2 linked regions of the Kluyveromyces lactis genome follow. The protein of the gene in region 1 interacts with the protein of each later gene in a pairwise test. Links are inferred from orthologs where the notes say so. Each region holds a gene or a part of one and is shown in the gene's direction. Other genes may lie near its edges.

Region 1 (4,488 bases):
TATAAATGCCTTGATGGGAAGGTTGCCTGTTTGGAAATGTAATTGAAAAGTTGTTCATGCCTGGTTTGTCCAATAATTTTGCTTTTTTGGCGAATTGGTTCATATTTTGTGAGGAACACATTGTGTTTTCAGATTGTTCGAGTTCGTAAAGCCAATAAGCCACCTTCTTTGCTTCTTTAAATCTTATTTTTCTATACCCTAGCGCATGCATGATTTCATTGAATCTGTCTTTAGTCATGTATCTTGAGTTCGTCAAGCAAGGTAGAGGTATAACTAGAAACAAATACGTTTTCTTGTTACATTTCAGAAACTGTTTGAATCGAAGTATCATTTGGCCTCTTTGAAGGGGTGTCGGCACGAAATTCAATACAAGTGAGCATGATATCAGGTCAAATCTCTGCGATTCATCCTTTGGTAATGGTCTTTTCATGAAATCCTGCCTTTCAATATTTACAGTATCATTTGAGTTAAGATCAATCCTAACAACGGGATTAAAGAGACCACACACAGAAATATGATTTTTCGCACTAAGGGATCCCAATTCCAACGCATTCATACCCAGAGCTTTATCCACCCCGAGTTCTTTGCACCACTTTACCAATTGTTTAGATGAATCACCACCTCTGTTGGAATCCTGACCAACTGTACTAGCAAATTGGTAATTCTGCAAACCGCCATCTTCTTCAATTTCTCCACATATATAACCAAGAATTTGACATAATTGCTGACTGTGTTCAATGCTTTGCACATGAACAAGTAATTCCTCTAATCTTGGATTTGGTCGTCTAGACTTTTTGCCCTTATTAAAATCTTCCTGTAAAGTTTTATTCTTTCGGAAAAAATTCTCAATATTAATAGCGTTGGCCTCTTCATCGTTTTCTACTATATCACATCGCAGCTTGTTGCATATCACTCTTCTCTTCTGAATCAATAGATGGAAACGTCTAATTATCTTCCTGGCCTTGGAAGGTTTGATCTTCGGTACATGTTTCGCAACAGGTTTTCCAGTTATGGTCCTCTTTCTTCGAGAGAGCATTGGAACAACGTAATAAGATTTTTCACGTATAAGTTGAGGGTTATAACCCGAGTGGCCCTTACCTGTTTTGTTGAGAGATGCTCATCTCGCTTCAATACCATCATGTTTACCAGACGGTTATGTAAGAGTTGGACAGTTTTTAAGACATATCCGGGTAACATAAATAGAATCGTTTCTTTTCGACTTTCTAGAAAATCTTGAGAAAGAAGCTCCAAGAGATGAGATGAGATGAGATAGAAGAGATACCAGCATACGTGTGCATGAACAATAAGTTTCTCGGTAATTAATTGTTGTCGACCTCATTCTGTATAAGAAAAGGACAGAAATAATAATGGTATACGGTGTTTCAAAAATGGCGAATAAGAATCGCAAGAACTTGAAGCCTGTTAAAAGTGATAGGAAAGACCGTATTTCAAAGAATCATTCAAAGAAGAAGGTTAATAAGAATAGCCTTAAGAAAGTAGCCACTACAGATATCACTGTTAATGCTAATGAGTTGAATTGGAAGAGTGTTGATATTCCAGATACTTTAGATGATTTCGGTGGTTTCTACGGATTAGAAGAAATCGATGGTGTGGATGTGAAAGTTGTCGACGGTAAAGTCCAGTTCATCACGAAAGATAACAAGAACGTTAAGAAAGAGCCGGAGCAAGTGGAGGAAAAGGATAATATCGTTTTCCAAGAGGATGATGAAGATGTCAACATGGATGAATTAATTGAATTCAAGAATTTTGACGATATCAAGGAGGGTGAGTTAAGTGCAGCTTCGGATGATGAAGAGAGCGAGTTCCATGTGTCCACTGAAGAAGAAGGAGAAGAGGGAGAAGAAGCAGAAGATCAAGAAGAAGAAAGATCCGAGAAGGAAAATGTTAAGGGGGAAGCAGGTACTGTTGTCACTGAAGATCAAACAAATGATGACTTATTACAGAGCAACGTATTTTCCTCTAACGTCGATATCGATGATCAAGAGCCTCCAGTACTTCCTGAGTGGTCCGAAAATATGGATCTCTCATTCACAGTGCTGAAAGGACTCTCTGGGCTTGGCTTCACCAGGCCTACAGAAATTCAATTGAAATCTATTCCTTTAGCTCTGAAAGGACATAATATCATGGGTAAGGCTAGCACAGGTTCCGGTAAGACTTTAGCATATGGTATTCCTATCATTGAACAATTAATTAAAGACACATCAAATGATAGGTCTATCGGCTTGATATTTACCCCAACTAGAGAATTGGCCCATCAAGTAACTGACCATTTGCAAAAGGTTTGGACGAAAATGAATAAGCTTAACAAGTACACGATTCTTTCACTAACAGGTGGTTTGTCGATTCAGAAACAAGAACGTATCTTAAAATATGATGGTTCTGGTAGAATCATTGTGGCAACTCCTGGTAGATTTTTGGAATTATTAGAAAGGAACCCAGATCTGATTCCTAGGTTTGCCAAAATTGACACTTTAGTTCTTGATGAGGCAGACAGACTACTACAAGACGGACATTTCGATGAATTCGAGAAAATTTTGAAGTTATTAGGGAAAGCCCGAAAAATTAAAACAAGTATCGACGGAAAGCCAACTGGAAGTGGATGGCAAACAATGATTTTCTCTGCCACATTTTCATTGGATCTTTTCACGAAATTAGATAAAACTTCATGGAAAATCCTTAAAACAGCCGGTGGGGAGAACAATGAAATGGAACAAGTTTTAAATCATTTGATGAAGAAAATTCAATTCAAATCTAAGCCAGTTATTATCGATACTAATCCTGAACATAAAGTTACATCTCAGGTCAAAGAATCCCTGATAGAATGTTTGCCAATGGAGCGTGACTTATATGTCTACTACTTTATCATGATGTATCCTGGCACAACTTTAGTATTTTGTAACGCTATAGATAGCGTCAAAAAGTTGAATGCATTTTTAAACAATCTAAAGATTTCGTCATTCCAGATCCATTCATCAATGGCTCAAAAAAATCGTCTTAGGAACCTTGAAAAGTTCAAAGAACAATCAGAGAAAAATAGCAAGGTAGGAAAACCAACAATTTTAATTGCTAGTGACGTCGCTGCTAGAGGATTGGACATCTCGGGTATCAAACATGTTTTACACTATCACTTACCCCGCAGTGCTGACGTATATATCCACAGAAGTGGAAGAACAGCCCGTGGTGATAATGAAGGTGTTTCTGTCATGATTTGTTCACCACAGGAATCCATGGGACCTTTAAGAAAGCTCAGAAAGGTGTTATCTACCAAGAAGAGTAGTAACCCCAGGAAAACAAAATGGCAGAATGATGTCCCAATGTTACCACTTGAGCCTGACATCGTTTCTCAGCTGAGAGAAAGAAGCAAGATAGCGAGCGAACTTGCTGATGATGAGATAGCAACGAAATCACTACATAAGGATGATAATTGGTTAAAAAAGGCTGCTGAAGAATTGGATATTGAATTAGATTCAGAAGAAGAGGAAAAGGACCAATTTTTAGCTAGAAACAAAACCAAAAAGTTGAATAAACAGTTGGAAAAGAATGAAAATAAGGCTCTAAAATACCAGCTCAACGAGTTATTAAAAATGCCACTAAGAAAAGATTTAAGAAAAAGCTATCTAACAGGAGGTCTGACCAATCTCGCTGACACTTTAGTCAAACATAAAGGTCACAATTCCATTATTGGACATGATAAAGTGGATGCATTGCAAACACTCAAGGGCAAGAAGCATAAATGAAGCCCTTTATCTGCTATAGAGAAATAAAAATAGGAAAACATATATATTCCCAATACAACAGTCGTTGTCGGAGTGTGAAGAATGTTTGAATTGCATGAAAAATATGTAATGTCTTGCAAATACAACTTAATCAAATATATCTTGGTGATACTTATGATAAAGAAAAGAATGAAAAGAAAGATATATATTTATAAACACTATTTATACATCGCTTGACTGAAGAGGTTTAAATGAAATCGTAGTCATCATCATCTTCATTTTCATCATAATATTCATCATCTGAATCTTCCATCAATTGTTCGAAGTTGACTTTATAACGAAGTAGCGCACCAATACCACCGAAACCAGTAACGAATTGAGCACCTTCAGAGGATTTATCGGTAATGAATTCTAGATTGGCACCGTAGTTTTTGTAATTTTCCGCAAGCCATTCAATTAATGGTTGTTCAGAGACCAAGTCCATTTCTGCTCCGGTAGTTTTATCAAGAGAGTATGATTTGTCTTGTTCCTCTGGTTCGACGAATTTTAGTACTTCTTTATCTTCAGAGTCCCTGTATACATATCTGATGGTTTCTAGATTTTCAAAAACAATCAAAATTTCAACAGCACCCAAATCCAAAGCCTTTAGAGTATCTTCGATACCGTAGCAGTATTTACCAGTATCTTGAGAGATTTGATCGAAATATTCGGTAATCAATTTCTTTTCTTGAATGAATTTAACATTGGCTAA
Region 2 (2,897 bases), on another chromosome or scaffold:
CTAACTTATCCATTCAAGGTTTGCAGAATCAATTATTCGCTATCTTCACATTCACAGTTATCTTTAATCCAGCTTGTCAACAATACTTGCCTTTGTTCGTCTCTCAAAGAGACTTGTACGAAGCTAGGGAACGTCCAAGTAGAACATTTTCTTGGCTGGCATTTATCTTCTCTCAAATCACCGTTGAAATTCCACTTAACATATGTTTTGGTACCATTGCCTTCTTCGTTTTCTACTATCCTATTGGTTTCTACAACAATGCGTCATATGCCGGTCAATTAAACGAAAGAGGTGTGTTATTCTGGTTATTCTCTGTTTCCTTCTACGTATTTATCAGTTCAATGGGTCAATTGTGTATTGCAGGTCTTCAGTATGCTGAGGCTGCAGGTAATATGGCATCATTAATGTTCACTATGTCCTTGAATTTCTGTGGTGTGTTTGGTGGTTCTGGTGTTTTGCCAGGGTTCTGGATTTTCATGTACCGTATTTCACCGCTAACTTACTTTATTGATGGTGTACTCTCAACTGGTCTTGCAAACAACCCTGTAACATGCGCAAACTATGAATACGTCAGCTTTAATCCAAGGAGTGGAGAAACCTGTGGTGAGTACATGGCGGACTATATTGACAAGAATGGTGGTTATCTACTAGATTCAAATGCTACGGAAGATTGTAATTTCTGTAAGATTTCTGAAACAAACGCATTTTTGACAAGTTTCCAATCTTCGTACCATAGAAGATGGAGAAATTTCGGTATTTTCATAGTCTTCATTGTGTTCAACTGGTGCGGTTGTGTTTTCCTATACTGGTTGGCTAGAGTTCCAAAGAAGAAGAACAGAGTGGCTGATGAGAGAGACCCAGATCATGGCAAGAAAATTGAAAATGTTCAAAAGGAAAAGGTTGAACCTCAATCCAATGAACAAGTTTAAGGATTTTTGCTTTTTGGCCAATTTTTACGTCGTTTACTTCTGTTTTTTTTTAACTATTAAACTTCATTTCTTATCGTGGGCTTGCGTTCTGCTTTAATATTTTGTTTATTCTGTATATATAGACCTGAATTGATATCTGGTTTCCCCATATATTACTATGGAAACCAAAAAAAGAAACTTCGATTGCATATAAAGTCCCAATATAACTCGATTGCAAGTACGAAAATTATTCAATTTTAGCATGGATCTCTGTTGTGGATGGTCGTTGAGGTAATCAAGATCCTTTGATGGGATATTCGTCAGCTCACCCTTCCTACAATGATTGCAGCGACGAATGTGAACTCTTTTCTTTTTATCGAAAATTAGCTTTCCAAAATTTTGAAAGTTTTTGTATTGATCAGATGAGATGAGATGAGATGAGATGAGGCTAACAAGATAGAAGTTGAATATAGTGGAACATAGCTAGTTATGTAGCTTATTCTAGGTCAAATAGCGAGGGTGCATAACAGCAAATCGGACGATACTATAATTTCAAAATGGCAGTGGATGAACTCAGAATAAAAAACAAGCAGAAGAGGCAAAAACTCTTTGCTGAGTTGAAGGATCAGCACAATAAGGAGCGTCATTCTATGAGGAGGACCAGAGCCAAGGAAGAACGTGAGAATCCGGAATTGAAGGAAAAAAGACTTGCTGAAAATGTTCCTGACACAATTGATAACCTCAGAGTTTACGATGAAACGATGGGTCAAGAAGTCGAAGGTGAAATGGATGATTTTATGAAATTTTTCAACGGTACCGAACCACCAAAGATTCTATTAACAACTAATGTAAACGCCAAAAAGAAGGCATATGAGTTCGCTAATATCCTGATCGAAGTTTTCCCTAATGTGACTTTCGTGAAGAGGAAATTTGGATACAAGCTGAAGGAAATCTCTGAATTCTGTAATAACAGGAACTATACAGATATCGTGATAATAAATGAAGATAAGAAGAAAGTAACGGGGCTTACATTTATTCATCTTCCAGAGGGGCCAACCTTTTATTTCAAAATAAGTTCTTTCGTCGAAGTCGAAAAGATCGTGGGCCATGGTAGACCAACTAGCCATATTCCAGAGTTAATCTTGAACAATTTCAACACCAGACTTGGTAAAACTGTGGGTAAACTATTCCAATCTATTTTCCCTAAGAACCCTGATTTCGAAGGTAGACAAGTGATAACGCTGCATAATCAAAGAGATTACATCTTCTTCCGCAGACACCGTTACGTTTTCAGGAACGAAGAGAAAGTAGGTCTTCAAGAACTTGGGCCCCAATTTACTATGAAACTCAAAAGACTACAAAGAGGTATCAAAGAGGAAACAGAATGGGAACACAAACCTTCAATGGACAAAGAAAAGAAGAAGTTCAATCTATGATATATTTGCATATATTTATATACAAATTCAAAGCCACCTGTGTACTAGTCCTGCACTTGGAGATTTATCAAAGATTTGACGGTATTATCATCACTACTCACGAGGCTGACGAAAAGTGGTGGCAAAATGAGAAATTCCTTGGCTTTAAAGAAAACAGGGCATTGAAACCTTTAAAGGATTTGGAATGTTTTGGGCTTAAATGAGTACAAGCCCACTGTTGAAAAGATTAATTGAAACAAACGGTTACTCTGTTGATCTGAAGAGGTGGTACACTAATTGCTCTTTAGGATTGTCATATTCTTGGTCATTATATTTGATCGATTGCAATCTAAGAAAAAGTATTTTTTCAGGCTGTTTGTTATTGTTGTTTTATTGGAAAGGAATTATTAACACGATCGATCACTGGGAAAGTAAACACTGACAGTAAAAACACTAAGCCACTTTACTCTTTTTTTTGTACACTGTTGCTATTACCTCTCTTTTGTTTTCAGCATCTTAACGTTGATTCTGGACTCATTTTGAAAACAACAGGAAATATCTGATCCAATTCTGT

What was found.
Region 2: the proteins of MAK5 (region 1) and RPF1 interact in binary tests that used the Saccharomyces cerevisiae proteins (3 or more experiments, as listed by UniProt). The link is inferred for Kluyveromyces lactis from reciprocal best matches to the Saccharomyces cerevisiae genes MAK5 and RPF1.

What each region holds. Positions count from the first base shown.
Region 1 is NC_006039.1:966,337-970,824, reverse strand, and holds MAK5 (ATP-dependent RNA helicase), read left to right. Parts: upstream 1-1,367; coding exon 1,368-3,758; downstream 3,759-4,488. Other genes in the region: BMT2 (25S rRNA (adenine2142-N1)-methyltransferase), read right to left, coding at 1-1,036; SUP45 (translation termination factor eRF1), read right to left, coding at 3,985-4,488. UniProt on the Saccharomyces cerevisiae protein: ATP-binding RNA helicase involved in the biogenesis of 60S ribosomal subunits and is required for the normal formation of 25S and 5.8S rRNAs. Required for the maintenance of dsRNA killer plasmid.
Region 2 is NC_006042.1:2,012,184-2,015,080, reverse strand, and holds RPF1 (rRNA-binding ribosome biosynthesis protein RPF1), read left to right. Parts: upstream 1-1,465; coding exon 1,466-2,344; downstream 2,345-2,897. Other genes in the region: KLLA0_F21692g (pleiotropic drug resistance family ABC transporter), read left to right, coding at 1-929. UniProt on the Saccharomyces cerevisiae protein: Essential protein. Required for biogenesis of the 60S ribosomal subunit.